4 linked regions of the Notamacropus eugenii genome follow. The protein of the gene in region 3 purifies or fractionates together with the protein of the main gene of each other region. This does not show direct contact. Links are inferred from orthologs where the notes say so. Each region holds a gene or a part of one and is shown on either strand. Other genes may lie near its edges.

The links.
Region 1: the proteins of MMS19 (region 3) and RTEL1 purify together in Homo sapiens (affinity purification with western blotting; 4 studies listed by BioGRID and IntAct, with this or other methods). This does not show direct contact. The link is inferred for Notamacropus eugenii from reciprocal best matches to the Homo sapiens genes MMS19 and RTEL1.
Region 2: the proteins of MMS19 (region 3) and PRIM1 purify together in Homo sapiens (affinity purification with western blotting; 3 studies listed by BioGRID and IntAct, with this or other methods). This does not show direct contact. The link is inferred for Notamacropus eugenii from reciprocal best matches to the Homo sapiens genes MMS19 and PRIM1.
Region 4: the proteins of MMS19 (region 3) and PRIM2 purify together in Homo sapiens (affinity purification with western blotting; 5 studies listed by BioGRID and IntAct, with this or other methods). This does not show direct contact. The link is inferred for Notamacropus eugenii from reciprocal best matches to the Homo sapiens genes MMS19 and PRIM2.

What each region holds. Positions count from the first base shown.
Region 1 is NC_092872.1:496,918,472-496,926,646, forward strand, and holds the start of RTEL1 (regulator of telomere elongation helicase 1), read right to left. Parts: upstream 3,245-8,175; 5' UTR 3,109-3,244; exon of another isoform or gene 3,070-3,108; intron 2,889-3,069; exon of another isoform or gene 2,728-2,888; intron 2,558-2,727; exon of another isoform or gene 2,341-2,557; intron 1,603-2,340; 5' UTR 1,570-1,602; coding exon 1,468-1,569; intron 1-1,467. UniProt on the Homo sapiens protein: A probable ATP-dependent DNA helicase implicated in telomere-length regulation, DNA repair and the maintenance of genomic stability. Acts as an anti-recombinase to counteract toxic recombination and limit crossover during meiosis.
Region 2 is NC_092874.1:232,034,177-232,042,180, reverse strand, and holds the start of PRIM1 (DNA primase small subunit), read left to right. Parts: upstream 1-4,992; 5' UTR 4,993-5,127; coding exon 5,128-5,230; intron 5,231-8,004. UniProt on the Homo sapiens protein: Catalytic subunit of the DNA primase complex and component of the DNA polymerase alpha complex (also known as the alpha DNA polymerase-primase complex - primosome/replisome) which play an essential role in the initiation of DNA synthesis.
Region 3 is NC_092872.1:214,294,399-214,301,858, forward strand, and holds the start of MMS19 (MMS19 nucleotide excision repair protein homolog), read right to left. Parts: upstream 3,105-7,460; 5' UTR 2,877-3,104; coding exon 2,768-2,876; intron 1-2,767. UniProt on the Homo sapiens protein: Key component of the cytosolic iron-sulfur protein assembly (CIA) complex, a multiprotein complex that mediates the incorporation of iron-sulfur cluster into apoproteins specifically involved in DNA metabolism and genomic integrity.
Region 4 is NC_092873.1:125,584,076-125,591,565, reverse strand, and holds the start of PRIM2 (DNA primase large subunit), read right to left. Parts: upstream 3,231-7,490; 5' UTR 3,067-3,230; exon of another isoform or gene 3,018-3,066; intron 1,100-3,017; 5' UTR 1,092-1,099; coding exon 938-1,091; intron 1-937. UniProt on the Homo sapiens protein: Regulatory subunit of the DNA primase complex and component of the DNA polymerase alpha complex (also known as the alpha DNA polymerase-primase complex) which play an essential role in the initiation of DNA synthesis.

The sequences.
Region 1 (8,175 bases), about 280 Mb from region 3:
GTAAGTGGCCATGGTGCTTGACACTTAGTAAACAATTAATAAATAGTTTTTCATTCGTGATTCAAAACTGACCAAGCAAGAGGAAGTACTTTTACAAGGAATGTAAACCCTGAGATGTTACAATTTAAGTTGAAACTCTCAATCTAGTTCCACAAATCACAACTTCACTGGGTTTTAACAATCTCATCACTGAATAATACTATAATGGTGTACTTCAGCTAAAATTTACAGCAAGATATTTTGCTAGGGATGCCTTAAATAACAAATAATTTTGCAATTCTGAATTTAGGCTTTCAAACAGTTGCCTTATCTGAAAGCCTAAATACAAATTTCTTACATGAATGTCTGTAATCATTGGATTCAATGAGAGGCTAAGAATACAGCTCCACAAAAGCTATGAATTTAGTTGGGACTGAAATGGATCCAAGCCTCCACTTTGTTAGAAACAAGCCAGCTGACCAGAGCTAAAACCCAGGCCAAATGCTAACAGCACACAGGAATCTCAGCTCCAGCATCAATCATAACCAGAATAAATCCCTCAGATGGGAGAATTATGGACAAGGAATATTTCAAAATCTGCCAGAAATTACTGATGTGGTGATTAGTTTTTAAACTGCTCTACCCCCTGCCACCATTTCTTTTTGAATCTTTGCTACAAAGGATGGTTCAATGGGTTAGGGGTGGGAATGGAAGTATTTGAAAAGAAATGTGAATTTTTTTAAAAAGTATCAGTGGAAAACAACAAAATTAAAAATAAATAAAAAGAACAAATAGCCAAAGATAGATAGCTAACACGTATTACAAAGCACAAAGGAGAGAATCAACAGAAATAAACACTTATTGAACTGAACTTAATGGCAGGGACACAAAGAACCTATTATCTTTATTCTACTTTAAAATGTAGAAGGAAAGAGACAAGAGTTGAAAATTGGACGTTTCTTCTTACAGAATGACTGAATCACTGCAGAGGTAGAGAGGCTTGGAATTGGACTAGATGAACCTCTGAAGTTCCTTACAGGTAGAGAACTATGATCCTACATCTACATGTGTGGAATATTACACTTCCACAGGATTGATGCATTTGTAGGGTTTATTGAAGCTCTTTTTTTCCCTTTTTTTAAACCTTTGTTTACAAAGGATATTACACTGGGTAGGGGAGGGAAAGGGAAGAAAGATACATTTGGGAAAAGGGGTTGTAAAAACAAAAGATACCAAGAAAAATAAATAAATAAAATGGGAGAGAAGGGGAACCAAATCTGCAACTCTTTCAACTAATCAAACACTTCTCCTTTTGTCATTCTGGTATTCCAGGCTGTTTAGCATTTTAAAATAAAATAGAAAATGAACTTACACATGGTGGAAGGGAGGAACAAATATGTAAGAAATAAGTAATAAATCTGGTGCTTTTTGAATCATAGCCTTAACATGAACTTGTGACTCAAACAAAAATTCTAAGGGAAGTCTTACCTTTTGCAGGCACTCCAGGACTTTAGCCATATAGTCTTCTTGACATTTGTATGGTTGGAAAGGAAAATCCACTGTAACTCCATTTAATGTTATCTTTGGCATATCTACCTGTGTCCAGTTCAATTCCCAAATTTCCTGAAATTCAGTATATTTATTATTAAAATTTCACGAAATCATCCCAGACTTCTGAACATTTCTGTTCACACAGATGACAATTTTGTAAATAATAATGACAATAAGTTGAATTCGCTTCTCTCTTGGTATGACGTATTCCAAGCACTCTATTATCATGTAACTGTTTATGTGGTTTGGGATTGGATGCCTCCCAAAGGAGAGAGACCGTAGCTAACATTTACAATGGCTCTAAGGTTTTTGTATTTAGGGTTTGCAAAGGCTTTACTAACAACAATTCTATGAGACAGGCTATATTGATGATTATCCCCATCATACCGATGGGAAACTGTTCTGCCCAAACTCAATCATTAGTAAATAGCAGAGCCAGAATGGGAGGGCAGATCTCCTGAATCCAAATGTGGCATTATTTCAACAGTACCACTCTACCACACATCTATCTCTAGGTTATAAGTGAGGAAGGAAAGTCAAACAGAGTACACAAGACGTCAGAGACCTGATGCACTGGAAATTGTGGTCCGAGAGCAGGGGCTCAAACCCTGCTCTGCTAGCTGACCTCCCAGAGCTTCTACAAAACTGAGGAGAGTGGGGGGCAAGGGGGTAGGTTTTATGACCTCTGAGGTGTCCTACACTTCCACCCTGGAGCCTCCAGCTTTTTGCCAAGGGCGTTACACGGAAGTTCAAGCACAGATTAAAGCACACCAAAGTCTGGACGACCTTTAAAACAGCCAAGGTCCCTTCGCTGAGGCCCTTCACTATGGAGTGGCTGAGGATTTAGACTTGTTCTGCTAGGCTCCGGAGGACAGCACTAGGAGGCAGCCGCAGGGGGCCTGAGGGGGCTTCCTTCTCAAGCCACGCACCGCTCCCAGTCAGAATGCGGGCTCCCAGAGTACAGGGGTGGCTTGGCTTAGTATCTGCACCCCGGATGTTGGCACAGGCCCCAAGTCTTTAGCACCCAGTAAGTGCTTTTTCATGCACCCACCGAGAGGCAGATTTAGGCCTTCAAGAGAAGCTACTTAAACAATCCATTGTAATTACAATTAAAGCTGGCCCAGAAGAGGGATGGGCCGGGACAGGGCGGGGGGGGGGGGGGGGGGGGGGGGTAGTGGGGATCCTCCCCACCCCCACCTTTAGGGTACTCCAGCTCAGCAGAAGCCCTGAACATATGTTATGGAGGGGATCTCGACCTAGGCCAAGGAAAATTGTGATGTCTCTTCCAGCTGAGAGTTTGTGATCAGTGCGGGGCTCAGATTCGTTACGGGAGGAGGAAGGGAAAGAGCAAGAAATGGGTAAGAAAACGCCAGCTGGCAATGGTGCCCGGGCAGCAGCGCTCCAGGCAAACGCGAGCGACCTTCCCAGGTAGCCCAGCGGGAAGCCAGCCAGCGCGCAGCCTGCTGGGAGCTGTAGTTTTTTCTAAAAGATCATCCTCCTAGCTCCAGAAACCAGGACTTCTCCCTTGACTTCCGACAGGGCCGCTGAGTGGAGGGACAGATCCCGGGGAGGACTCACCACGGCTCTTCAGAAGCTCCTCTCTTTGTCTCTCCCGGGCCTCGGCAGTGCCCCAATTTGCACTTTCCCGGGCAGCAGAGAAGCGGTGGCGTAAGCTGTCACGTGCCACTTACGTCATATCCCAGGTCGAAAGCCCGTCCTTCTTCCTGCGATGCTCGGGGCTGGCGGTGATGACGTAAGCCTGAGGCTGCGCTGGGTGGAAGGGAGGTCCAGCCCTGCCTTTCCTTGGGTCCGGGTGCTGTTTGCCCAGGGGCTGGTTGACTGTAGCTCTGTTCCCCCTACCTTCTGGGCTAAACCCACGGTCCCGTCCCCCCCTTAAGCATTTCTGTAAGAAAGTAGAACACAAAAAGAGGTCTCTGCATGAAGCCCTGAATCTCTTCCACTGAGATTGCTTTTTTAACATATAATAAAGTCAACCCATTACTGTAATACCTCGTTGTGCTTCCTTCTGAACTACTTTGTATTCTGTGAATTTTTAAAACTGTTTAAATGATTCCCCCTTTTTTTTGGCATCAGTATGGCTGTTCTCCAACCTCTTTCCCCAATTAAAAGCAGGAAAAATAAATCCTCTTAATAAACCAAGCAAAAGAGTTCCCACACAGGGACCATTTCACTTCCTGCACCTTGAGTCCTTCAACCCCACTTGTCCATAGTGCTTTCTCTTAAGACCTCTGTGGTTTGGGTTGGGTTGCATTGCTTTTATCAGATTTAAGTCTTTCAAAGGTGTTTTTTCTTTAAAATGTTGTCAGTGTGTAAGTTGTTCTACAGGTTTGCCTCAGATCACTTTGCATCAGTTCCTGTTTCTCAAGTTTTCCTCATTTCTTACAACAAAATATAATAAATATGTAATATAATATTCATGACATTCACAGTTTATTCTGCCATTCACCAGTTAATGGGAACTCCTTAGGTTCAAGTTTTTTCTTTTGTCTTTAAATTACCCCCCTGAAGATCAGGAAGTTTGTTTCTCCTGATGTTATTCCTTCCCGTATCCCAACTTGTTTCCCTGCTTAAAGCAGGAACAAAGACTTTGGGGACACTATTTCTACATCAAGCTATCCGTGTGGGAGGGGTGGTGGTGGTGATAGGTGTGTGTGTGTTAAAACCTTTGTCCGGTTCAGATAAGAGTAAGATTTATCTGATGCCTGCTCCCCACCCCCATGCCCACCCCCATTACTCCGTTTTGGTATACTCTTCTGAACATGCCCACCAATTATGAAAATTAGTTGAGTTCCACACCCTCTTTGGGACCCCATAGACTATAGCTTACCAGGTCCTTCTATCCTTCACTCTCTCCTGAAGTCTGTTCAAGTTCATGTTTGTTGTTTCCATAACACTCTCTATCCATCTTATCCTCTGCCATCCTCTTTTCCTTTTGCCTTCAATCTTTCTTCATATCAGGGGCTTTTCCTGTCTTCTTATTAAGTGGCAAGAGTTTTTAAGTTTCAGTATTTGACCTTCTGGTGAATAGTCTGAGTTAATTTCTTTAAGTATTGACTGATTTGATCTCCTTGATGTCCAGGGAACTCTCAAAAGTCTTCAGCACCATAATCTGAAAGTGTTGATTCTGAAGCACTCAACTTTCCCTACAATCCAACTCTCATCTGTACATCAGTACTAGAAAAAAAACATAGTTTTGACTCTACAGATCTTTGTAAGCAAGGTGATATTGATGAGGTTCAGACTCTGGGAGCCTCCTTGAGCTCCCCTTGAATCTCCCCACAGAATCTGGCCTTGCTTACTCAACTCTAATCTTCCCATTTGTTCCGAAGTCTCAGGAAGCCCATGGGCTTTTCATTATCATTTCAGGTCTCTGTTGCACTCCCCACCCTTGATCCCATCAAAACCCCATTCCCATACTGCCCCTATCAAGATCTCTGGATTGCCCCACCTGCTTCCCACCCAAACCCTCCATTGTCTGCTATCTCCTGATAGCCTCCAGCTATTTCCAGCCTTTGACCCTCCTTGGATTCCCTCCTTGGACTTCTCCTCAAGACCCTTCCTAAACCCCTCCTCCCATCACCCTGAACTACCAGACCATCTCCTCCCCCCCCCCCCCCCCCCATCCCTCCTATACTCTTTTCTGTATTTAAGTCCCACCTTGCCTCCATGAAGGCGCTCAGATGCAATCCAGCTCAGACTCTGTCTAGCTGGGATTGTGCCTGGCCCGCTTGTGAATACAAACGTTACAAAAGCTTAGGCTCTTAAGAGGCAACCCAATTAGGCGAATCCTTAATAAATTTTGTTTTCTTTGGTTCTAAGAAGGCTTGAGTCGAATTCATTCGAGCACGACCCAGACCGTCGGTATTTTAGGGTTCCCCTCACCATTAACCTCATCAATATCACTGCTTTTTAGAATGTTGTACAGATTTGCCATAGCTTTCCTTCCAAGAAGCAAGTGTCTAAATTTCATGGCTACAGTTGCCATTTGCAGTGATTTCTGAGCCCAAGAATATAAAATCTGACACTACTTTAATTTTTTCTCCTATTTGCTAGGAAGTTATTGGACCACTTTCCAAGATCTTAGTTTTTTGTTAAGCTTTAATCCAGCTTTTATTTACACTTTCCTCTTTCATTCTCATCAAGAGGCTTCTTAATTCATTTTTGCTGATATTTCCCTCAGCCACATTTAATTCCATTAAAATTTAAATTAAATTAAATTTTTGATTCACCTAACCTGGCAGGTCACATGATATACTCTGCATATAACTTAAATAAATAAGGTCACAATATATAACCTTGTCATATTCCATTTTCAATCATAAACCTGTTCCATGCTCAGTTCTAAGTGTTGCTTCTTGGCCTACATACAGGTTCCTGAGCAGACAAATGAGATGATCTAGTATTTGCATCTCTTTGAAGACTTGCTACATTTTGTGGTGATCCACACAGTCAGAGGCTTTGGTGTAGTCAATGAAGCAGAAGTAGATGTTTTTATGGAACTCCCTTGCTTTTTCCACAATCCAGCAAATGTTGGCAATTTGGTTTCTAGTTCTTGTACCTCTTTGAAAACCAGCCTGCTCTTCTAGTAATTCTTGATTCATGTATTGCCAAAGCCTAGCTTGCAGAATCTTAAGCATAACCTTGCAGGACTGTGAAATGAATACAATTGTCTGGTGATTTTGAACATTCTTTGCTATTGTCCTTCTTTAGGATTGGGATATAAACTGATCTTTTCCAATCCAGTGGCCACCATTGAGTTTTCCAAATTTCCTAGTATGTTGAATGTAGCACTTTAACAGCATCACCTTTTAGGATTTTACATAGCTAAATAGGAATTTAGGAATTTAAATAGTTAAACATCTCCACTACCCTTATTGTTAGCATTGTATCCTAAGGCCCACTTGACTTCGCTCTCCAGGATGTCTGGCTCTAGATGAATAACCACACCATTATGATTATTGGTGATGTCAAGAACTTTCTTGTATAGTTCTTCTGTGTATTTTTGCCACCATTTCTCAATCTGTTCTACTTCTGTTAAGTCCCTTCCATTTTATCTTTTATCACACCCACTTTTGCATGAAATGTTCCCTTGATATCTTTTTTTCTAGAAAAGATCTCTTGTCTTTCTCATTCTATTATTTTCTTCTATTTCTTTGCATTGCTCATTTAAGAAAACCTTCTTATCTCTCCTTCCTATTTTTCGGAATTCTGCATTCAGCTGGGTATATAGTTCCCTTTCTCCTTTCCCTTTCCTTCTTTTCTCAGCTACGTGTAAAGCCTCATCAAAGTCATTTTGCTTCCTTGCTCTTCTTTTCCTTTGGAATGTTTTTTGTTGCTGCCTCCTGTACAATACTGAAAGCTTCTGTCCATAATTCTTCAGACACTGTACCAGATCTAATCCCTTAAAACTATAAATTACTTTCACTTCATATTCATAAGAGATGTTATTTAGGTCATACGTATTTGGTCTGATGGTTTCCCCTAATTTTCTTCAATTTACACCTGAATTTTGGAGTAAGAAGCTCATGATCTGAGCCATAGCCAGCTCCAGGTCTTGTTTTAACTGACTATATAGAGCTTCTGCACCTTTGGTTGCAAAATATATAATTGATCTGATTTCAACATTGATCATCTGGTAATATGTTGAGAGTAACCTTTTAGGTTGTTGAAAGAGAATGTGCTATTACCAGCAAATTTTCTTGAAAAAACTCTATTAGTCTTGATAATGTTTAATATAAAATTTTGGAATAATCTCTTTGTTCTCTCTGAAGTAAACTCAGAGAGTGCCTCTTCCTATGTCAGCAAAAGCCAGCCAAGGCCGACTCTACACTCCTTAAGGAGACCTTTAACCTAAGACACTATATCTTGAATAATAAGACTTTCCTTTGATGAATAATGAGACTTTCCTTTGATGAATCTTATTATCTATAGACACATACTATGTTATGAATAATGGGACTTTCCTTTGATCTATCGACATATACTATGTTATGGCGTATTAATGATAAAGAAAATATAGACATCTTAGATCATAATTTCTATTGAACATTGTTTACCCTTTCCTATGTCAATTATCTGTTTAAGGGAGGAAGCCTGCCACTTACTAGTGGTGGGGTTTCTTTCCTTATCACTGAGACATATGCTTACCCAGCTTGGAATCTCAAGGCCTGACTAACATTGCTTTGTTAATTGTCCTGTCTTACTGAATTTATGATTTGCTTAATTAGGAGAGTTTCTTTCTCATGGCAAAATGTACTTAAGACAGATGATTTCTGTACTAGATAGTCAGAGTCACCTCTGACTCCATAGCGCTATGTAACTGTTTTCTTTATAGGGAATTGATCAATTAATTAATTAAATCATAAAATGTATGCATTTAGCCATGTTGCCTTTTCTCTAACCAAGTTTTCAGGTCAACAGTCTCCACCCTGCTTCATTTTGTATTCCAGACCAAACTTTCTTGCTGTTCCAATTATCCTTTGATTTCCTACTTCAGCATTCTAATCCCCTATAATAAATGTGACCATCTTTTTGGGGGGCATTATTTTTAGAAGATGTTGTAAGTCTTCATAGAACTGATGAACTTGGGCCTCTTTGGCATCAGTGGTTGGAGCATAGACTTGT
Region 2 (8,004 bases), on a different chromosome or scaffold from region 3:
GTCTTTACTATGTTGTTATTGTATAAATTGTCTTTCTAGTCTTGCACACTTTGCTCTATACTAGTTTATGGATCTTCCTAATTTTCTCTGAAATTATCTCTTCTCTTATTTCATTTTGCATGAGTATCCTATTACATTCACAAAATATCATTTGTTCAATCATTCCTAATTGATGGGCACCCCTCCCCCTTGGTTTCAACCCTTTCAATTCTGATGTTTTGCCATTTATTTGATATATGTGTGTGATTGGTTTTTGTTTTTAAGAAAAAATTGGTGGCTATCAAAATCCTGACTACCACCAATCTGGGGGACTTATTCAAGAATTCAGAGATGGAGCCTTCTAAAGAGAGGAAAGAATTTCCCGATGTAGCCTCAGAGAAAATTCACATAGTTCCTAAACAATGTCCTACTTAACAAAGCCAATAAGTTTACTCAGACAGTACAACACCAATATGAAAAGGTTTCATATTCAGCTGTCCCTTCAGGGGAATTCTTTTTCTCAGAATCACTATAATTCTGGCAGGAATTCTGTGTGAAAGAGGAAATCATGAGAGTGTAAGGAGGTGATGATGAATTATTTGAGTGTTTTGTATGTTTTTGTATTCTCTTATGAGTTCCTGTGAGTTTTTGCATCTTTTTAATTTTCTAGGAATTTTTTTTAAACTGTCCTCATATGCACTTGACGGCTAAGTTTACATGGGAGCTAGAAACCCACTTTTGAGGGGAGATTTCCTGAACAAATTTTAGCAATAAGGAGTGAGTCAAAGAGAGAAAAACTGACCCTCCTGGGGTCAGCTTCCAGGATTGGACCCACTTTGTGTGAACCTGAAGTTATTAAAGGAAATTAAGGGGAGAGCCTGGGACATGGGACATAGAGACAATTAAATCTACGAAGAGTTGATGAGATCATTAAGGGAAGAGAATATAAAGAAGGGTGCCCAGGACATGGTCTTGGAGAACAACTACACTTAGGAGGAAGAAAGAGGATGATTATCCAACAAAGCAGAAGAAAAGATCAAACAGAAGAAAAACAATGAGGAGAGTGTGGTGTCACAGAAGAAAAGAAAAGATGGCATTTCCAGAAAGGTTTGATCTAGATGAGGGGTTCTTAACTTGGGTTCCAAATACCCCTCAGGTGGTACTTGGAATCTATTTGCATAGATTTCAAGAGGGGATCTATGAACTTGGGACTTTTAATAATTTTGATAATCATATTATATAATAATTGATTTCTTTGTAATCCTATGTATTTTATTTTATTTCATACATTTAAAAACATTTATTCTGAAAAGAGCTCTAATAGGCTTCACTAGACTGCCAAAGGGACCCTGGACACTAAAATGGTTAAGAACCCCCAATCAACACAGGGCTTCCAATGTTGCAAAGAAACAGAATGAAGAATGAGAAAAGGTTACTGGATTTAGCAGTTGATAACTTTGGAGACAGCTATTGATCTTGGAAGAATGACAAGGGCTTTTCAAATGCTGCCAAATCCTGACTATCTTAAACAATCCTAGCTGTGGAAGTCCAGCAAAAGGAGAATCCTGGGACTACTTCTGGAAACCAGATTTTCAGGCTACTTACAAAAACTATGTAACCTATGTCAACCATTATAGTTTGTTCTAAGAAACAAACAAAATTAGGCTGCAAGGTGTCAACCTGAAAATTTGGTTAAAGGAGGCAAACAGGCTAGGTGATAAGTAAATCTATATTGTTTGTTCCCTTAAAGCTAGTCTAAGCTAGCTAGCTTGTACATACAAAGTGCCAGAGTCTAAGTTCTGACTGTCTGATGAAAGAATGACCATGCTTAAATGTGTTTTAGAACAATTCCAACTCAGCATGTTTGTGTCACTTAAATTTATGATCTCCATATATGATTAGCCGTATTATGACAAAGGAATTTTCTTAATTGAATAGATGGTAAATACAAAAGATAAGAGAGTTGATAAAGTGTCCATTGAAATTATAACCTAGGATATCTGTGTTTTCTTTACCATTAACATGTCATAACATAGTATGCATCCATAAAATATTAAGATAAGAAAAGGTCTCATTATTCAAGATAGTGTCTCAGGTGAAGGGTCTCATCCTTAATGGTTGTAAACAGAGGAAAGAATGCTCTTAAGTCAGTCCCATCTGGCCAAGGTCAAGTTGACATAGGAGAGGTATTCTCAGAGAACAAAGAAGCTGTTAGTTCCAGGCTCTTCTTCTGGTTGATTAGTTCAGGCTCTGTCGCTTATTGAGGTTATTAAATTGATATTAAATGATTATCAATGGGCAAGCTGATTTCTCTCAAAGCTGGCAAATCATGCATATAGAGATATACATGAGAGTTCGTTGTGAAAATGAGTCCAAGGAAGAATGGAAAAGGGGGACCTTATATCTTCAGAGCAATTTAATTTCCTCTCACTCCTCCCTCCCTTCCCTGCTCAAGATACCTGTGTCAGACAAAATTATAGTCTCCATATGTGTTAACCATAATATGAAAAAGGAATTTCTTAGTAGGATAGATTGCCCATACAATAATATTAAAGAAGGGTCAAAATGTCAATTAAAATTCCAGTCCAAAATGTCTGTGTTTCTTCTATCATCAACATGATATAATATAACAATGTAATTTAATATAACATAATGAAATATAATATAATGTAACATAATATATGTCCATAAACTGCCAAGATAAGAAAAGTGCCATTATTCAAGATAGCATCCCATTCAAGGTGAGTTGTCCTTGGCAGTCAGGAATGTTTCTGGACAGTTTCATCCAGCCTTGTAGTTATTGACACAGGAAGGAGCATTTTAGGTTCACTCAGAGAGCTGATCAAAGCATGTCTGCTATGCTACAGCCCGAAAAGCATTATGGTAGGTTAAGTTCAAAGTGGGCCAAAAAATGCTTTTCTCCTGATTGGTCAATCCAGGTTTTAGGCCTTTCTCAGCTGGGGGGCTCGGGGGTCAAGGAGGTTTGGGGAGGTCTCTGGCTAGTTCACACCTAGGTACTTCTCTGAATGGGAGAAATCAATGAGTAGATGAAGTTCTGCTGACTGAAAGGGAAGTCTGACTTGTGATCTGTGGATAAAATGCGCTCGACTTTCTTCCAACCCCATAAAGGTAAATTATTAGAACAAAAATGGGGATGCCACATCTTCTCCCAACTCCTTGTGAATGCATCCATCCCTCTCTCTTTTTTTTTTAACAGAAAGAAATTTATTGGGAATATTTTGAGAATACATTTGAAAGAATAGGTCAATGTTTTCCAGCAAGGTAGGGAGTAGGGATGCTCATTCACTTCAACCAGAGCAAAGGAAGCCCCATTCAACCCTCTCTACACCTTCTCTGAACATGTTGACATTCTCTCATTGCCCTTCTGGCAGGCAGAACTTCAGCACCTTCTCCAGTATTTCCTCCTGCCAGAGACATGCTCAGACTCACAAAAGCTTTCTCACCTTTGGACATTTTCCTTCAAGATTTGGATCAAATACTTAAGAAATTAGGGCTTTTCCTCGGGGTGTGATAGAGACCTGACTTGGAAGAGCCAATCGCTAAATTTTCATTGCAAGAATTTGCACCCTGAAAATCAGCAAGCTACAAATTGGGGGTTGATTTATTGTTTGGGGGTGGGTGGGAATCAAAGAAGGCTTTGTAAAGGAGGGAGTAATTAAGTTGAACCTTGAAGGAAAATATCCCTCACCAAAGCAATTGCTGCTTTTTCTCAAGGTGTGCTGGAGACTCACGAAAGTCAACTGCTAAATTTTCATTGTGAGAATTTTACACCTCAGAAATCAGCAAGCTACCAGTTAGCTTAATTTACTATTTTGTTTATGACCAAGACTCTAGATTTAAGAACGTGATAGCTTACACAGTAACAGCCATGTTGTTCAGTGACTGACTTTGATAGACTTAGCTCTTCTCAGCAAAGCAAGGACTGAAAACATCTGCAAAAGACTCATGATGGAAAATACCATCCACATCCAGAGAAAGAAATATAGAATCTGAACGCAGATAGAAGCATACTATTTACTCCCTGTTTTGTTTTGTTCTTTCTTTCTCATGGTTCCTCCCATTCGTTCTAATTCTTCTATACAATATTACGAATGTGAATAATAAGAAGTTTTTTAATAAGAAGGTACGTACATGTAGAGCCTATATGAAAGCCTATGCCTGCCTTAGGGAGGGTGGAAGGGAGGGAGGCAGAGAAAATTTAAAACTTATGGAAGTGAATGTTGAAACCTAAAAATAAATTAATTTTAAAAAAAAGAAATTGAAAACAAGAATGCTGGATTTGCAAGAAAGTAATGGAGAAAATGTTAATAATACAGATTTAACTTAAAAGTGTGTCCAGCATACAACCCTTTCCCCTATCCCAGTCAACTGTGAAACATTTACCAGCACTTTTACCCTGTCTGCCTCTCCTCCAGTTTTGTATTTATTCTTGTGCTGTATCTTCCCATACAACACGGGTCGCTTAAAGGCTGGGATTATTTGCTTTCCCTCTTGGTATCCCTAGCGCTTAAGTTGCTTCCTTGCACACAGCAGGTGCATAATAAATGTTGGATGACTGCGGACGATCTCCCTTCCTGTCTCGTTCAAACTCACTTCAAAGGTCAGTCAGTCAGGCTAATGCTTCTCTTTCTTTTAACTAAGAATTATCCCTTAATTTAATTTAACATTCATTGTTTAATGAATTCCAAATGCTCTCCCTCTTTTCGGCCCCTCCCCCGCCCAGGTAAGACATATGCTATCAATTATACATGGGAAATCATGCAAAGCATATTTCCATATTCAGGTTAAGGATTCCTGTAATTCACTTCTCTCCTCAGTGACCGGATGGGGCGGGACTGCGTGATCTTCAACGTCTTCCGGCCTCTAACGAGTCTCTCCAGTTCCCTATGGAGGATACAGAAGTAAATCAGTACTTCCTTCTTCCTTCTCGCGCGCCTGAGCACAAAGTGCTCTCTCCAGTTTACAGTGCCCTATCGAAGAACTACACGTCCCAGAAGGCCCCGCGAAAGACCCTTTCCCGTCGCGCCGCGGGCGCGCCTGTGCAGTGACTTAGACTCGGGATTCCCATTTCCCGCCAAACTGTGAGACTGGGGTTTCTCTTGCCGCTAGACAAAATCCCCGAGGCCCATGGCGGCGTTTGACCCCAACGAGCTGCCTGAGCTGCTCAAGCTTTACTACCGGAGGCTCTTTCCCTTCTCCCAGTACTATCGCTGGCTCAATTATGGCGGAGGTGACCGGGGAATGGGCTCCCGGGAGGGGAAAGCAGCTGCGGGAGGGGGCGGGGGGAGGCGTGGAGAGCCTTGGGGGCGCACGGAATAGGAGTGCCGTCCTCTCCAGGTGGGGAGAGTGACCCAGTCACCCCACTTCTGGGGCCTGGCCTCCTTGAGCCCAGCGCCTAGGAAGCGCTTTGTAAGCGTTAGCCATCCTCATCGTCATTGTTACTGTTGAAGCGCTACATAAATATCGGCTATCGCTGTTGAAGCGCTACGTAAAAGTTAACTGTATTCCTTATTGTTGTCAGATTGAAACTCTATGTAAATGGTAGCTCCCATCATCGCCGACATGCTGTGGAAATATTACCCATCATCGTTATTGTTCTTGTTGAAGCGCTGTGTGTAAAAGTTAGCCATCATCTTGGGCCGTTATTGTTACTGTCCAAGAGCTGCATAAGTGTTAGCGATCGTCATTGTGCAAGCAAGCGCTGCATAAGTGTTAGCGATCGTCATTGTGCAAGCAAGCGCTGCATAAGTGTTAGCTATCATTACTGTGCAAGCAAGCGCTGCATAAATGTTAGCTATCGTCATTGTGCAAGCAAGCGCTGCATAAATGTTAGCGATTGTCATTGTGCAAGCAAGCGCTGCATAAATGTTAGCGATTGTCATTGTGCAAGCAAGCGCTGCATAAGTGTTAGCGATCGTCATTGTGCAAGCAAGCGCTTCATAAATGTTAGCGATTGTCATTGTGCAAGCAAGCGCTGCATAAATGTTAGCTATCGTCATTGTGCAAGCAAGCGCTGCATAAGTGTTAGCGATCGTCATTGTGCAAGCAAGCGCTGCATAAGTGTTAGCTATCATTACTGTGCAAGCAAGCGCTGCATAAATGTTAGCTATCGTCATTGTGCAAGCAAGCGCTGCATAAATGTTAGCGATTGTCATTGTGCAAGCAAGCGCTGCATAAGTGTTAGCTATCATTACTGTGCAAGCAAGCGCTGCATAAATGTTAGCTATCGTCATTGTGCAAGCAAGCGCTGCATAAATGTTAGCGATTGTCATTGTGCAAGCAAGCACTGCATAAGTGTTAGCTATCGTCATTGTACAAGCAAGCGCTGCATAAGTGTTAGCTATCATTACTGTGCAAGCAAGCGCTGCATAAATGTTAGCTATCGTCATTGTGCAAGCAAGCGCTGCATAAGTGTTAGCTATCGTCATTGTACAAGCAAGCGCTGCATAAGTGTTAGCTATCATTACTGTGCAAGCAAGCGCTGCATAAGTGTTAGCTATCGTCATTGTGCAAGCAAGCGCTGCATAAATGTTAGCGATTGTCATTGTGCAAGCAAGCGCTGCATAAATGTTAGCTATTGTTACTGTGCAAGCAAGCGCGGCATAAATGTTAGCTATCGTCATTGTGCAAGCAAGCGCTGCATAAATGTTAGCTATCGTCATTGTGCAAGCAAGCGCTGCATAAATGTTAGCTATCGTCATTGTGCAAGCAAGCGCTGCATAAGTGTTAGCTATCATTACTGTGCAAGCAAGCGCTGCATAAATGTTAGCTATCGTCATTGTGCAAGCAAGCGCTGCATAAGTGTTAGCTATCATTACTGTGCAAGCAAGCGCTGCATAAGTGTTAGCTATCATTACTGTGCAAGCAAGCGCTGCATAAGTGTTAGCTATCGTCATTGTGCAAGCAAGCGCTGCATAAGTGTTAGCTATCATTATGGAAGCGCTACATAGATACTAGTTTATCATTATTGTCCAAGTGCTACATAAATATCACCCTTATTGTTATTGAAGTGCTATATAAATATTAGTTATCGTTATTGTCCAAGCGCTGCATAAATGTTTGTTATCATTATTGTGGAAGCGCTCCATAAATCAACTATCGTTTTATTGTTGTTGAAGCGCTATATAAAAGTTATCTTCATTACTGTTGAAATGCTGTGTAAATGTTAGCCATCATCGACATTAATGCTGAAGCGCCATATAAAAGTTATCGCCATGATTGTTGTTGGACTCTGTAAACATCCTCATTACTGTTACTATCAGTGAGGTTAAAGTATTTCAGGCAAGATGAGGAGGAGCCAGGTCTTCTCTGGGGATGGCTCCTCTCCTCTCTTTTCAGTGCTTCCTCTCACCCCTTCCACATCTAAGTTACTTAATGAATTCTGGTTGGATTGCATTAGAGTAAATTTGTTCTGCTTGCTCCAGAGTACTAAACTAGGAGTAATGGGTAAAAGTTGAAGAGGAAGATGAAGCCTGGAATGAAAAGAAAGTATTTCCAAAAGTAATAGCCTTTGAGAAAGCCCTCTTCACTTAAGGCCCTTTTAAGCAAACCCTGGATGAGTACTTGATTGTGTTGTAGACTGGGTTCTTGTTTTAGTTCTGGGTTGGCCCAGATGCCCTCAGAGGTCCCATCCACCTCTGAGATTTTGAGAATTTTTCCCCTCTCCCCTCCCAGTCTTTTGAGTATCACTGCTTAGAGCTAGGGAAAAAGGAAATTAACAATTTGAGCTTTGAAATCCTAGGGCTCTGGGAACCAGGAGACCTGGGTTCTAATCTACCTTCTGCTAGCTCACTGAGAAAATGAGAGGGTTGGCATGGAATTTTGGATCCCTTGATGTTTGATCTATGAATTCTCCAGGATCATAGAGAGCTTCATAGGCCTAGAAGGGAAAAGGACCTTCAAAATCATCTAATTCAACCCTCTAATTTTACAGATGAGAAAACTGAGGCCCAGAGAGGTTTAGTGACTTTCCCAAAGTCAAATGGTTGATCAGGTGAGCCAGGA
Region 3 (7,460 bases):
TTTTAAAAAGATTAATTTGGAGGTGGTGTGTAGGATAGCTCTCAACCTTTTTTCACTCAAACTCTAGTGAAGATTTGTTTCTATAACATTAAAAAGATAATGAAAAAGCTGTGGGTTATTAAAAATCGCCCAAAACCCCCACAAACAACCACAATACAATTAATGTACTAGGGATATAAAGACAGAAAGAAAAGTTCCTGCCCTCGAGGAGCTTACATTCTCATGGTCATATAAAAAAATCAGGATTTAAATTCCAAGTTGTGTCCTTTTCCCCCTCCCTCTGGGATTTTCTCCAACTTATCCGGTGTAGATCTTGCTTACATTCAGTTATTTACATGGTGTACTCTCCAGTAGACTGTGAACTCCTGCAAAGCAGGGACTATTATTTGCCTTTTGCATCCCCAGTTCAGTAAAATGTATTCATTCTCATCCCCTCCTTCACCAGGAGTAGCATAAAAGTCAGGAGATTTGCTTATTGGTAGCTTTTCGTATAGACTTCTAAAGTCTAAATACATTTAAGACCTCCTCCTCACAATCCAGCCCTATTGTAACAGAATTTTATCTTAAACTACTCACCCCAACCAAAAGCAACTCTAGAGTTAGGTCAGGTTAATGTCTACACTCTATCACCTCTAAGCTTTTGTTCATTCACCTAACTTAGAAATATCCTCAGCTCTAGGATGCAGTCTCCCAAACAAAAAGGTAAGTTCCCAGAAGGCAGGAGCAATCGTAACCTTTGTAATATACTCCAGCATTTAGCAGAGTGCTAGTAAAAACTTATCAAAACCTTTTTCATTCATTCACCTGGGACTACTGAAATCCCATTCATTTTACTAGGATGGGCTCAAGTCAGACTGCCACAATCACGTGCAGTGGCTAAACTGGAAAAGTCTGTAAGCCCAAGTTGATTTTGCCCCTTCTCTAAAACTTTACTGTCATAACCTCACAATTTAATGCAATTATTGAGTCCAGTCACTTCTGTTGTGTCCGTCCGACTCTCTGTGAGTGACATTTTGGGTTCTCTTGGCACAGATATTGGAGTGGTTTGCCATTTACTTTTCAGCTCATTTTACAGATGAAGTAACTGAGGCAAACAGGGTTAAGTGACTTGCCCAGCATTACACAGCTATTAAGTGTCTAAGGTCAGATTTGAACTCAATGAAGATGAGTCTTTCTGACTTCAGGTGCAACACAGTATATCCACTGCGCCACCTAGCAGCCCTGATAAGTATTATATTCTTATATTATTCTTTAACTGGCTTACTTATAATATCCCCCCAAAAGATTAAGCTCATGGATAGTGACCCCACCTCATAACTTGTGCAAGGAATTTAGGAGAAAGAACAAGTAGATATCTACAGATTATAATAACAGCTTACATTTATATAGCACCCAAGTTTTCAAAGCAAGTTGTTCACTAGAACATTGAGGTATTATCCCCATTTTATATATACGGGAACTGAAACTCAGAGGGGTTTAAATGAATAGTATAAGGTCAGAGATAAGTGATACAGTTGAATAAAGCCCAGAAGGAGACAGTAAATGTAGAGCACTGTATACAAAGCCAGCCTGCCAAAGACACTAAAGACAAGGGCCACCCAGGATTAATTTAACGAAGGGAACTTTGTTTAGAACAAAGAGACAGTGTTAAACGTGGTACCTAGAGCAGTGGACAATCACAATTGGGCTAGCTGGACAGAGTTTAGCTAAAAAGGATAACTTTTAGGGGTTTAGTAATTTAACGGGTTTTATTAAAATGTGAAAGCTATGCACTATCATTCAAGGTACACCAAATTTACCTTTATCAATTTTATTTTATGATCTGGTCCCTATCCAAATTTCTTCTCAAACACTGTTCCTCTGTCTCTAAAAGTCAAACACCTGGTTTTCAGTATTCATAAATTTGAGGGGTCACAAATAAGCAAATGGTACATCCTCTCTTTTAAGGCCTCCCCCTCCGAAGTGATCACAGCTTTCCTAATCAATGACGAGCCAGGCAATACTACAGAAGAGCCTAATCGATGCTGAGGGCCAGGCACTGTGCAAAGTACTGGGTTGTTTTCTTTTAAACCCCAAAATGACACAGTCCCCTTCCACCAAGGAGTCTACTTCTTCCAGAAAGTTAGGCTGTTTTTTACAGACTGGTAAAACTGTCAAACCCAAAACTCTTAGTGGACAACCTCCTCCCCTCCACAAGCTCGTTATTAATAAATTACGTTATTTACTATTTAGCACGGGATCGGGGGGCCCTGTAACCCTGCCTAACTCTCTAGGAAGATTTCTGTCTAAAGGAGCCCTGCCTCAGCCTCCTATCCAAGAATCCGAACGCAAACGTGCGTGGACGAGACAAGACAAAGTTTCGGGAGGGTTGAAAGCCCCGCGGAAGAGCGCGATACAGGGAGGGGGGCCCACGGGAAGCGCCCAGGCAGGGCCGGGGAGGCCCTCGGGGACCCCCAGAACTAGTGTCGCCTTCCACCACCCTTCTTCCTCTCCATCATGCACCCAAGGCCCGAGCCAGCTTCCGGAGCCCACGTGGCTCCCTGCTCCCGCCTGCCCACGCCACGCCACGCGCCGGATCTCCCGAGCCCACACCTCCTTCTCCTCCTCCGCCCCGGCACTGCTCCGTCGTGGCCCCTTTTCCCGTCCCGACGGCTCGGCCCTAGTCGGCTTCCGTCCCCAGGCCCACCCCAACCGTCGCCTCCTTCCCTGCCCGCCGGCGCCAGGGGCGGCGGCTGCTCCCTCCCCGCAGCTTGCAGCGCGGATGTACCTGCCGCCACCTCGGCCGCCGGGCCGTCCTGCTGCCCGACCACAAAGTCCTGGACGAGGCCACCCAGGGCGCCCGCCGGGGCCAGCGCCTCCTCAGAGGCCGCGGCCATGATCGGAAATTGGGAAGAGGAGGAGGGGTAAGAGATGGAGGAGACAGCCCCACGGCAGCGCCGGGGCAGCTTCGCGCATGCGCACTCCGACCAATCACGTGGCGAGAAAGCGGGAGAGGGAGGGTTGCCTAGGTCACGTGTTTGCCCCCTTCCCGGCCGGACCGTCCCGGGGAGAGAGAGAAAAAGGCCCCGTGTCGGAGGGGAAGGGTCAGCTGCCCGGGGACTCAGCTGGTTCGTAGAGTAGGTAGGACGGCACACCACCCTAGACGACTAACGAAGCAGACTTTCGGGGAGACCGGGCGGATACCTGACTGGGTGGGGCCCGGCTGGGACGCCCCCCTCGGGGGAACCCAATGAGAGAGCTGGGCCCGGGCAGCGGGGCGGGGCCGACGGTCACATGCTCACCTGGGTCGGGGGCGGAGCCAGAGCCGGGCGGGGCCCGGCCGGGGCGGGGCTTTGCAGGTGAGTGACAGTGTCCGGGGACGGACTCCGAGGAGATCGCGGAGCTAGGTCTGAGTGGCCTTGGCCGCGGTGCCCGCCCCTCCTCTCTCTCTCCGGCCTCTTCTCCTGGCCGCTCCCGGCCCCAGCCCCCCTGGCCCGACCACCTGGGGCGGGCTCTTGAGCGCTGAGGGAGCCGCCCTCCCGCCCGCTCTCCCGCAAAGTTTGTGGCGGAGCCGGCGGCGGGGGCTGAGCGTGCCCCGGAGAGCGAGGGGACAACGACTGATGCAGAACGGCAGGAGCAGTTGAGTCCGGAGTGGCCCGGGACCCGCTCGGGGCATCGGAGGGGCTGCCCGCTCGCCGCCGCCCGTGCATGGGGCCGGGCTGAGCCGCGGCCATGGGCAACTGCGTGGGGAGACAGCGCGGAGACAGGCCGTCAGCGTCGGGACACCCCCGCAAGCGAGCAGGTGAGGACCGCGGGCGCCGGCTTGCCCGCCTCTGCCCCCCGCCGTGGCTCCGGTCCCTGCCCGGGCTGGGCTCGGGAGGAGGAAGCGCCCTGCGGGACGGGGAGCCGGGGAGGTGGGGGGAGGAGGCGGTGGCCGGTCCGGGCAGCCCCGAGCGAGCTCCGAGCCCGGCTCTGCCCGACTGGAAAGTGGCGGAGGCCGCCGGGCCGGGCCAGGAAACGTTCGGGACTGCTGCGGCGCGGACCGGGCGTGGAGGGCGGCGGCTCGGGCGACTCGGCTCCTCGGCGCAGGGGCCGAAGCGGGCTGCCGGGGCCCGGCCGGAGCCGTCTAGGAAGCTGCTAGTCCTGGGGAGCCCCGGCCGGACTCAGGAAGTCTTGAACTCCTTATTTTTTTAACCAAACTCCCCGGCTTCGGTGCCTGCGCCGGGAAGAGGTCGGGTCTTGGGCGCCTGGTCCCTGAGAGTGCCTCGGGGACCTTCCAGAAATCACAGGATCAAATTCTGCGAGATCCTCCTGCCCATTTTCCTGACGAGGAAACTGAGGCCCGAGAGGATGACGCCCTTGTTCACGTTCCTCCTAGAGCTCCGTGTAGAAAGCAGGTCTCACAGTTGCCAGTTTTTCTTTGTGTAAAAGGGGGTTTCGCAGCCGGTTTTGTAACGAGAGTTTTCTGATACCAAAGGTGGGTCACCGAACCTGATTTCAGGGGCACCTTTTTTCCAGAAATGTGTTTTTATGGAACGGTTTGAGAAAGACTTCAGTTTTAAAACTAAAAGGGTAGGTTTTCCTCTCCACCGTGCACACTTGGGGGCTTCCAACGGTCTGAACACCACATTCCTTATTTTCTCAGTCTTCAGCCCCTTACTCTCAACAGCATTTGATGTTGACCAGCCTCTCTTGGAAAACTCATCCCTTCCACCGAGTTGTGTTCATTTTGTCTGACCTTTCTTCCTTTTCCTGGCTCCACTTTGCCCCTAAATGTGGGCAGTCCCACGGTCACCCAAGTTGTCCAGACCATTTTTACCTTGGTACCAAAATAGCTTCCCATTTTCAGGATTCAGCTTCTTAAACCCCTTGGATTTCCCAAACCATCCTGCACACTCTCCAGTCACATTCTTCGGTACCACTGGATCTTGTCCAAGTGCTGCTCACAGCCCTTCAGCAGCTGACCATTGCCAGCAGGATCAAGTCCACGTTCTGTAATGTGGTACCCAGGCTGTACAGGCCTCCTTTGCCTGTCTCCTGCTCTGTAACTGTCCCTCCTCTCCCCCAGTCTTGTGCCTTTAGCCCACCTCCACCATGTTCTGCCCATCCATAATCCATGTGAAGCATTCCTGGATTTTCCATCTTCCCAAGTTAGAAGTGATCTTCCCCTTCCTGTTCTGAACCTTTTATGCATTTATTCCCTGTACTATCGATCTGGTGTTTAGTTTTAGTATCTTGTTCATGTGAAGTTTCGGCCAATTGACAACCTGTTTGAGGGCAGGCATTGGCTTTAGGAGAACTTATATTTCAAGCTTAAAGGGATCTTGGAGGCCATCTAGTTTGACCCCTTTATTTTGTGGAAAAGGAAAAACTGAGACTTAGGATGTAACACAAATACTTCTCCTATCCAGACAGCTTCTATACTTCACAAGTAGCTTTACTAAGGCAAATACTTATTAAGCACGCACTGTCTGCTCCCTAGATGCTGGAAGATAGAAAGACAGCAATGCAATGGTTCTTGCCATCAGGAAACTTCCCTTTTTGTGGGGCGTGGGGTGGGGAACAGGGCTTGGGTATTGAGATGGAGACACAGGATGTACACAAGTGTAATATAATTTATCTAACTAGCCTGAGCTGGTACAGTAGGTTCTTAGGGGAAGGTCACAAAGGGGACAATGTTTGCAACATGGTAAAAGGGGTATGTGTGGAGGAGATGGTCTTTTTTTTTTTTTTTTGGGCGAAGGTCTGAAATCATGGTAAATACTTGTCATTCCAGTAACATATCTGAAGCCTCACTCTGTGACACAGTTTAAATTGTGACCTGTTCCCCCACATTTCAAAGAGCTCCCCTAGTCCCTCCCTTCCCCATGACCTTTCTTTGCCACTCATCCTTGAGATGGATAGAGTTCTTCATGAGAACAATTCCATAAGCACCCTCCCTTTCATTCCACTGTATGATGTCCTTCCATGCAACAAAAATTACTTTTGACTGACCCCTGCTATCCTTAGACAAATTTATGTCCATGTCAATGAGGTAATTAAATGGTGTGCCCCCACTTGTTAAAAACTTAGGTGACTGATAGGAAGGTAATTAATTTTCCTGATTGCCTCCTATATGTAGCAGAGCTGAACCTTAAACACTTGAGACTGATGGAATTGGAGATATGTATTTGCTTTGGGGATTATCCTATAATTCTCTTCCAGACTTGTACTTCCTTGGGCCCAATGTGTGAGGATCAATAGGCCCTGCCCAGCATGTTTGTTATAAAAGAAGATAATTCTACACATATGGCTGTGACTGTTGATGAGTAATGAGATGACCCTTAGTTTTCTGTTCTCTGTTAGCCTTCCTGTGGCACTTTTATTTATGGGACTATGCCATTCAGCAGCTTAGAAGGAAAGCAGTAACTTAAGGTTTGCACTTGGTGCAACGAGAAGCCCTTCTGTTGACCCTTTGCTTTGGGGAGTTCTTAAAATAGGAAATCCTGGTTAGAATGCGGGGGCGGGGAGGCCTCTTGTCAGTATCTCACATTTCCCCCTATTCAGAATGGTGATTGCTTGGGCTCTTATCTCTGCTAAACTGCCAGCTGTGACTTGTTTGTGGGGGGAATCCAGAAGCACAGATAATGGGGCAAAGGGGCTGGGGTTTGGGTGGATAGGGGGGTGCAGATTTAGCCTCTGGCCTTTTTCTCCCTTCACTTGTCATGCAAGGTTTAGAATCCCATTTTGAAAGAGCAGTCTTTGCAGCGAGGGCCTGAGGTAAGATTCAAGCTCTTCCACTGATTAGCTGGAATCTGGGCAAGTAATTTCCCTCTTTGCTCCTTGGTTTTTTATGTTGGCAGCCTCAGAGGCCTTTTCGCTCCTAAATCCTGGGACTTAAGATTTTCTTTTTGCAAAACTTTAAAATGAGAATAAAATTGTACCTGCACCCTGCCTAGTTCCTAGAACTGGGATAGAAACTGGGAACACCTCATATGCAAAATATGTTCATGAAATGACAAAAAGATCTTGGATTGAGATCTTGATTCTAGTTCCAGATATGCCTTAGAAAAGACACTTAACCCTTAAACCAAACCCTCTCCCCCCAGCCTTACACTTTCATTAAGTATGTGACCATTGGACTTCAAAAAGATGTTGTGGGGATAAAACTAAGCTAATCTTGTAGTGTAAATGCTTTTGGAAAAATTATAAACCCTGTACAAATGTGAGGTGGAGGAGTAGTCTCTCATTTATTTGGCATTTGGGGGGCAGAGGGGAACAGATATTTAACTGTGGAAGTATCTAAACTTTTTTTAAAAATCATTTTAATGAAAATCTTACTAAAATGAATTTTTTCCCCTCTCTTTAAGCCCCTCCCCCATGCTGTGTCATTTAACCTTTTCTCACTGAAGCAAGTTCATGTTTATGTAATAGTCTTGAGTATATTTGCCCTTATGTCAAATCCCCCAGATTGCCTCATTCTTTGGGCTAAGAAACTAGAA
Region 4 (7,490 bases), on a different chromosome or scaffold from region 3:
ATAAATAATTTTTATACATGATGTCCTTTTCTTCTTTCATCTCTTTGGGGGTAGAGATCTAGTAGTACTACCTCTGGGTCAAAGAGTAAACACAGTTTAATAGCTTTGGGGATATAGTACCAAATTGTATTCTGGAATAGGTAGAGTACTTCATTTCTGAGGCATAAATTAGACGTCAGAAGCAAATAGAATTTCCCATAGCTACATAAACTGATATACCATGGTAATGCAGAAATATAGACACCAAGTCATCAAAATGATTGCCATGAAGAAACTGTTACACTTAGCAATCAATGGCTCTTTGAAAGTAACTTATCCTGAAGTGATCAGAATCAGGAGAACATGGTACACAGTAACAGCAACGTACTACAATGATCCTAATTTATTCTCAGCAACAGAATAATCCGAGACAATTCCAAAGGATTCAAGATTAAAAACGCCATCCACCTCCAGAGAAAGACTGATGGAGTCTGAAGATCCAAGCATGTTGGGTTTCTTTTTTTTTTTGCTTTCTTTATTTTTGGTGTTGTTTTTGTGTTTTCTTCCACAATATGATTAATATAGGGATTTCTTTTGTAGGACTGCACATGAATAAGCTACATCAAATTGCTTACCCTCTCAAGGAGGGGGAAGGGGAGAGAAGGAGAGAATTTGAAACTCAAAATTTAAAAAAAATGTTAAAAAGTGTTTTTATGTACAATTGGGAAAAAAATAAAATATTATTTAAAATTCAAAAAACAAAGAAAGGAAGTAACTTATCTATCCTTCCCAACAGTACTAACCATTTCAGAACCCACTTCAAGTCAACAGTTGTGGTAAATTAGAATTCAGGGCTAACATGTACCTGAATTTCAAAGAAATGAGTGATCCAAAATTACCTTACTTAAACATACAAAGTTACCTTGCTTAAACAGTTACAATGTAAAATATCACTCACGTTTAAGCCTTTCAATAGCTAGATTCTCAAACTCTGCCAAAGATATGTTTTCAGAAGGAGGTTGTAGGTAGAACTGAAGGCTATGAGGATAGGAAGCACCTCTCTGGTCCCCTGCCAGACTCAGTTTCTTTCTCCTTGATCCAGAAAACTGCATCTTTGTTACTTAAGCAATAAATAAATAAATAAATAAAGATTAGTTGAAAATATAGCAAGACAGCTTTCAACTTTGCCCACTTGAGGAGCGTTCCTAATTTTCACCAACATACATGTTAAGAGGTATGTGTTACTGGTCTCAGAGTAAGGAATTCTACCAATTATACATTCTGTAAAGACTTGAACTCTTTGGGTTCCACATGCACGTTCATTTCTCTTGTAATAAGCCTGGTTTTCACATATGTCTCATGATGATTGCTTGTTGATAACCTCCACACCATGTTTCTTATCCATCTCCAAGCTGTCACCTTAGTTCAGGTGATCATCAGCTCTCCCTTGGACTGAATTCAAATCCAATCAGATACTTACTAGCTGTGTGACCCTGAGAAAGTCATTTAACTTCTTTCTGCCTCAGTTTCCTGAACTGTAAAATGAGGATAATAATAGCAGCTCCCTCCCAGAGTAGTTACGAGCATCGAATAAGATAATAGTTGTAAAGTACTTATTCCAGTGCCTGGCACATAGTAGTCCCTAAGTAAATGTTGGCTATTATCAACACTTATACTATCTGCCTAACAGAGCTGTTGTAAGAAAAATACACTATACACCTTACAGAACTACAGACATATATGTTTATTATGAGGAGTAGGAGGACAAAGAGGAGTGCAGTGGCCCATCAATTTCACTTAAAAAATCTGTGCCAATCAATGACATTTAACATTTATACCATCTTGCAAACTGCTTTACATACAACTTTATGAAACAGGTGCCTTTTTCCTTTTCTTTTCTCTTTTTTTTCAGTCTCGAAATGTGCTTTCATTAGTGTGGAGAACTCTGGGTTGGAAATCTTGTTCCACCTACACAGAACAGCTGGCCACTGAAAAGTTAAATGGCTTGGCCACAATCATAGGTATTTTTACTTTATTCAGCTAAGGGAACAGACTTACAAGTCGTTTTGACCATATATTACCTTTGACAGGGATAAACAATCCAATACCTAGTCACGTTAAAAGTGCAAGGTCAAATCTAAACAATTAAACACGACATATGTAAAATCCAATTGTTAAATAGATCATGAAAGAACGGTATATAAATGGAGAGACACAACTGCTTCTTGGTTCATGCTGCCACTGTATATAAATTGATAAAGAGACGCAGTCACTTCTCACTCTGTCTGAACCACCATGGCCCGGTGGATGGTGTCAGACCTAAGGTCAGGAAGACCTATCTTCCCAAGTTCGAATGTGGCCTCGGACACTTCCTAGCTGTGTGATCCCAGACAGGTCATTGAACCCAATCTGCCCCACTTTCCTCCTCTCTAACACGAGCTGGAGAAGGACGTGCCAAACCATTCCAGTGTCTTTGCCAAGAAAACCCCAAGTGAGGTCAGAAAGGATCCAGAACGACTGAGAAAGAGGGGACACTACAATCGGGATTAGCCCCACGAGAAAACTGACTTAGCAAAGGTTAAGTGATCTGCTATTAAGTGCAGAAGGTGGTGTTCAAACCATGGCCTCACCGGATCTCAAGCGCAGCCCTCCCGGCCACACTTGCTGCCTGTGACCCGACCCAGTCACGCCGTGGCTCCGGGCGCCACACCCCCGGTTTTCAAGCCCTCCCTACCCGGACGGAGGTCCTGCTACTCTCAATGGCCCCCAGAGGGTAAAGGGGGGGGGGGGGGGTACAGGATGGGGAGGGACGCAAGCATGGAGATTCCAGAGCTCGACCTTCCCAGACGTGGAGCTCCCAGGGAGGCGAAGCGCGCCGCCCCCCAGGCACCACTCACCCGGCACAAGCTTCTCCCTCTCCCCCCAGGCCCCCCAGTACCAGCCCCGCTTCTCAAGCCCAGTCCCCGCAAGGGGAAGCAGGGACCCGGCACACACTCCGGGACTCCCCGGACCCGGGGAAACAAAGCCAACCTACTCACAGGGTGGAAAGAGGAAACGCGTCCCAAGACCCTCACGCGAAGCTGTTACCTGCGGCAGCCCCAAGTGCCCTAAACGTGCCGGGACCCCTTCCCTTCAGAACCAGGACTCAGCGCTTCTCAAAGGCGGGAGATTTCGGATGGAGGCGGAAGTCGTCACCACTCGCGCCGGTCCCGCCCCCGGACTGGCCCCGCCCCCAGGGCCAGGCCAGGCCCGCCCCCTCTGGGCTGGCCCCGCCCCTCATGCCTGGCGCCCCGCCCCCTAGCTCCCGGAGCCCCGCCCTGCTTCCGCCGTCCTTCCGCCCCGCCCCTGAAGTTCCAGGTCCCCCAGGCTCGGGCTGGTTCTTCTGTGGTGGCATCCCGGAAGCGGGGTTCACTTACTCCAAGGACGCACCCATTTATTCTACAATCTATCTAGTGTGTTCTGATTTGTATACGCCTCTGTACCCGTCAGGCTGTCCGCTCTCTGAAGGGAGGGACAGATTGTTTGGTTTGGATTTTTGTTTTTATTTTTTCCTGGTTTCCTCCTGTCGCCTCTGAAATCCCACCTTCATCCCAGTTGATAAATGGTCAAAGGATATAAACAGGCAGGGTTCAGAGGAAGGAATTAAAGTTATCTGTCGTCCTATGAAAAAATGCTCTAAATCACTACTGATTAGAGAGTCCCAAACCAAAACCACTCTGAGGTGCCACATCACATCTATCAGGCTGGCTAAGGCGGCAGAACAACAAGACGGCCAATGCTGGAGAGGATGTGGGAGAGTTGGAACACTGATTCATTGTTGGTGGAGATGTGAGCTCATCCAACCATCCTGGAGAGTGGTTTGGAACTATGCCCAAAGGGTCACAAAAATGTGCATACCCTTTGACCCAGCACTAGTGCTTCTAGATCATAGAAATGGGAAAGGGTCCCACATGTACAAAAGTATTTATAGCAGCTCTCTTTGTGGCGGTCAAGAACTGGAAATCAAGGGGATGCCTATCAACTGGGGAACGGCTGAATAAATTATGGTACATGAATGTAATGGAATACTGTTGTGGCATAAGAAATGATGAACAGGAAGATGTCAGAGAGGCCTGGAAGGACTTACAGGAACTGATGCTGAGTGAAAGGAGCAGAACCAGGAGAACTTTGTATACAACAACAACCACAGTGTGGGAGGAATTTTTCTGGCAGACTTAGTACTGCAGTGCGATGCAAGGATCTAAAAAATTCCCAGTGGACTCTTGAGGCAAATGTCATCCACATCCACAGAAAATTATGGAATTGGATTGCAGAATGAAGCAGACTATTTTCTCTTGTGTTTTGTTTTGATTTGGTTTTTCTCATGGTTTCTCCCATTTGTTTTAATTCTTCCATGCAACATGACTAAGTTGAAAATGTATTTAGTAAGAATGGATGTGTAGAACCCATATAAGAATGCATGCAGTCTGGGGAGGCGGGGGGAGTCAGGAAGAAGGAGGGACAAAGGGGGAGAAAATCTTAAGATTTATGGAAGTGATTATAGAAAACTGAAAACAAATAAATTAATTAATAAAATCCCACTTTTAGCAAGAAACCTTTTACAAATAAGATATGTTACAAGATAAATTCAAGATACCTCTTAGAGACGGGGCACTAGCATTAAGGAGGCTAGCAGTCTTTCCCCTGAGATTATCTCCAATTCAGCCTAAATATATCATTCATACATGGCGGTTTGCATGTTATCTCTCCTCTTAGACTGTGACCTCTTTGAGAGCAGGGACAGCTTTTGCCTTTGTAAGTGCTCAAAAAAATCAAAAAAAGTGATCATAAACACTGATTGCTTGATTGATGGGGGAAGTATCGGTTCTTTATAATGGAAACTGGGATGTGCATCGAGGTAAAGAGATGTTGAAAGATGAGATGTTAAAGAGAGGTAAGGGGTGTTGAGGGTTGACTGCAACCCTAGCACTGATGGAGCCCTGCAGGGATAAGAGTTTGTGGCCTGGCCAGAAATTGACCCAAGTGTGAACATATGAGCTTGATTAGGTCCAACCAGAGAGAAGGAAAAATTCATTCATCAGTATCACTTTTTTTTAAGATTCCCTAAAGTTTTTGTCAGCTCTTGGAGCATCAGAATAACTCTAGATTTCGGCCTCAAGGTGAGGATGGTCACTGGCTGCTGCAGAACCCTAAACATAGAGAGCAAAAGAAGAGATTCTTCAGGGCCTGACTGTGATGGCAGATACAGTGGGAAAAGCTGGATTTGGAATCAAAAGATCAGGGTTGAAATCCCAGTCCTGGACTGGATGAGGGGCTACTTTCTACCTGTTTAACCTTGGGCAATGAGGGCTTCAGTTCTTCCTCTGTAAAATGAGAGAACTGGACTTGATGTCAAAGTTACCTCCTCAGCACCTTCTAAATCAATGATCCTTCAACTCATTTGAGATTGCTGTTACCCTTTTCTTTTCCTAGGATCCATGGACTCTGGAGGTGGAGTATCTCTTTTCATCCTTTGTGTCCTCCCTACCAAAGCAACTTCAGGCACACAGCTCTTATGAAGTCCACATAGCTTGAAAATATATTCTTAGTTTGCTTTGCATTTGTGTTTGGGTTTTTTTGGTGGTTGTTGTTTCTTCAGTTAAAATCTGTTTCATATAGATATTGAGATTTAACAAGTTGGTTTGTTTTGATGAATTTTTTTCCCTCTCATGCTTTGTTAGGAAGGATGGCCCACTAGGTAGTGAAAGGGAATGAATATATTAATAAATTAAGATGACATAAAAACCAACAATGTCAATAAAAAATCAAATTTTTAAAAAATTAGAATCATAGAAGCAAAAGATAAGATCTAAGGAGTGCCACACAACTCTGTGAGAAAGATCTGCAATTTTTTTTATAACAAACTCTTTCTCCATCAAGGACAATGTATTCTGGTTGTAACATCATAGCTGGGAATGTGCTGTATGAGGAAATAGAAAGAGCACTAAAGAAAACAAAAACTGAAAAAAAATAACTACTAGACCAAAGATATAAAGAGGAAGTCTGTGTTGGAAGTGACACAGTTTTGAAGGTGTTAAGGATTGATTCTCAAGCTATCTGAAGGAGGAGAAAATGTCAAAACTGAAAAAAATAAATCTCAAACTTTATTAGTACAACAACAACAACAACAAAAAACACTAGTAGCTTCCCAGACATGCTCACTTTTAAAACCTATACAAATTCACTAATGAGGGAATTCATTAGAAGGAAAGAGATTAGCTTTTGCAAAGAGGATTCTAAAATAGACCACAATTTTTTTTTACCATCACCCAATTAACAAAATACAAGATCGCAGTGATTATTTTTTTATATTGATGACCATAAAAAAGTATTTGATTCAGCGGGACAAGATGCTCTCCTCCTACAAAAATACTTCCTGTCCATGTGGTAAAATTATACAAGATTCTGTGAAATATATAAAAAGGAGAACCTCTTTGGAAACCCTCTGATCATTAATAGTAATCAAGCTATAAAGGTGTATACTCATAAAAGATGTTCACCATTGTCATTAAGGAGATCCAGATGGCAACTAACAATAAATACTCATCAGTATCTTTTCTCAGGATAAAAGCAGATTCAAACAATAAAAAACAATTGCTCAGGAGGATTACAACCTGACTCCCCAAAGTTTTTGGGTTTCACGTAGTAAACTTTTCATTATTGACAGTGGTGGTGGTTAACACAGCAAAGACAGATAGATACATAGATGATAGATAGATACATAGATAGATTTAGCTAGTAAGGGGAAGATTTCATCTAATAGTACACAAAGGCATAAGGCAGAATGTACAACCATGTGAAGAGTGGGTGTTTGGGTGTATGTGCCTATGTTTCTTTTAACAGTAAGCAAGATTAACAAAGCATAGAAAGATGGCTATGGACCAAAGCTTGAGGGTACACCCACAGTTAAGACTGTCGTTTTACCCTCTGACACTGTTCTTGAGACACAATGTGGTTGAGTGTAGTTTTGTCCTTTGAAACTTGTTTAGATTGTTTACCAAGATGGGGAACTACGGGTATAAAATATTGTATATACTGTCCAACATGGTTGTCTAGCTAATTGGTTTTGATAAACATCTCTCTCCCTCCCTCTCTCCTTCTCTCTCCCTTCTCTCTCTCCTTCTCTCTCTCTCTCTCTCTCTCTCTCTCTCTCTCTCTCTCTCTCTCTCTCTCTCTCTCTCTCTCTCTTTCATGCTTTCTTGGAAGGGATGGTCCACTGCATAGGGAAGGGTTAGAGAGGACATGGGAAACAGCCAGCTTAGCTGGATCATAGAGGGTGGAAAGGGCAGTGAGACCAGAAACATAGATCAGGGGTAAATTGTGAAAGGCTTTAAAAACTAAACACAAGCATTAATGATGATTACAAGTAATAGTCACATGAGTTGGAGTAAAGAATGACATGATCCAATCTGTATTTGAGGAAAATCACTTTGGCATATGATTTGGAGTGAGAAGAAACTTGAAAGAGAGAA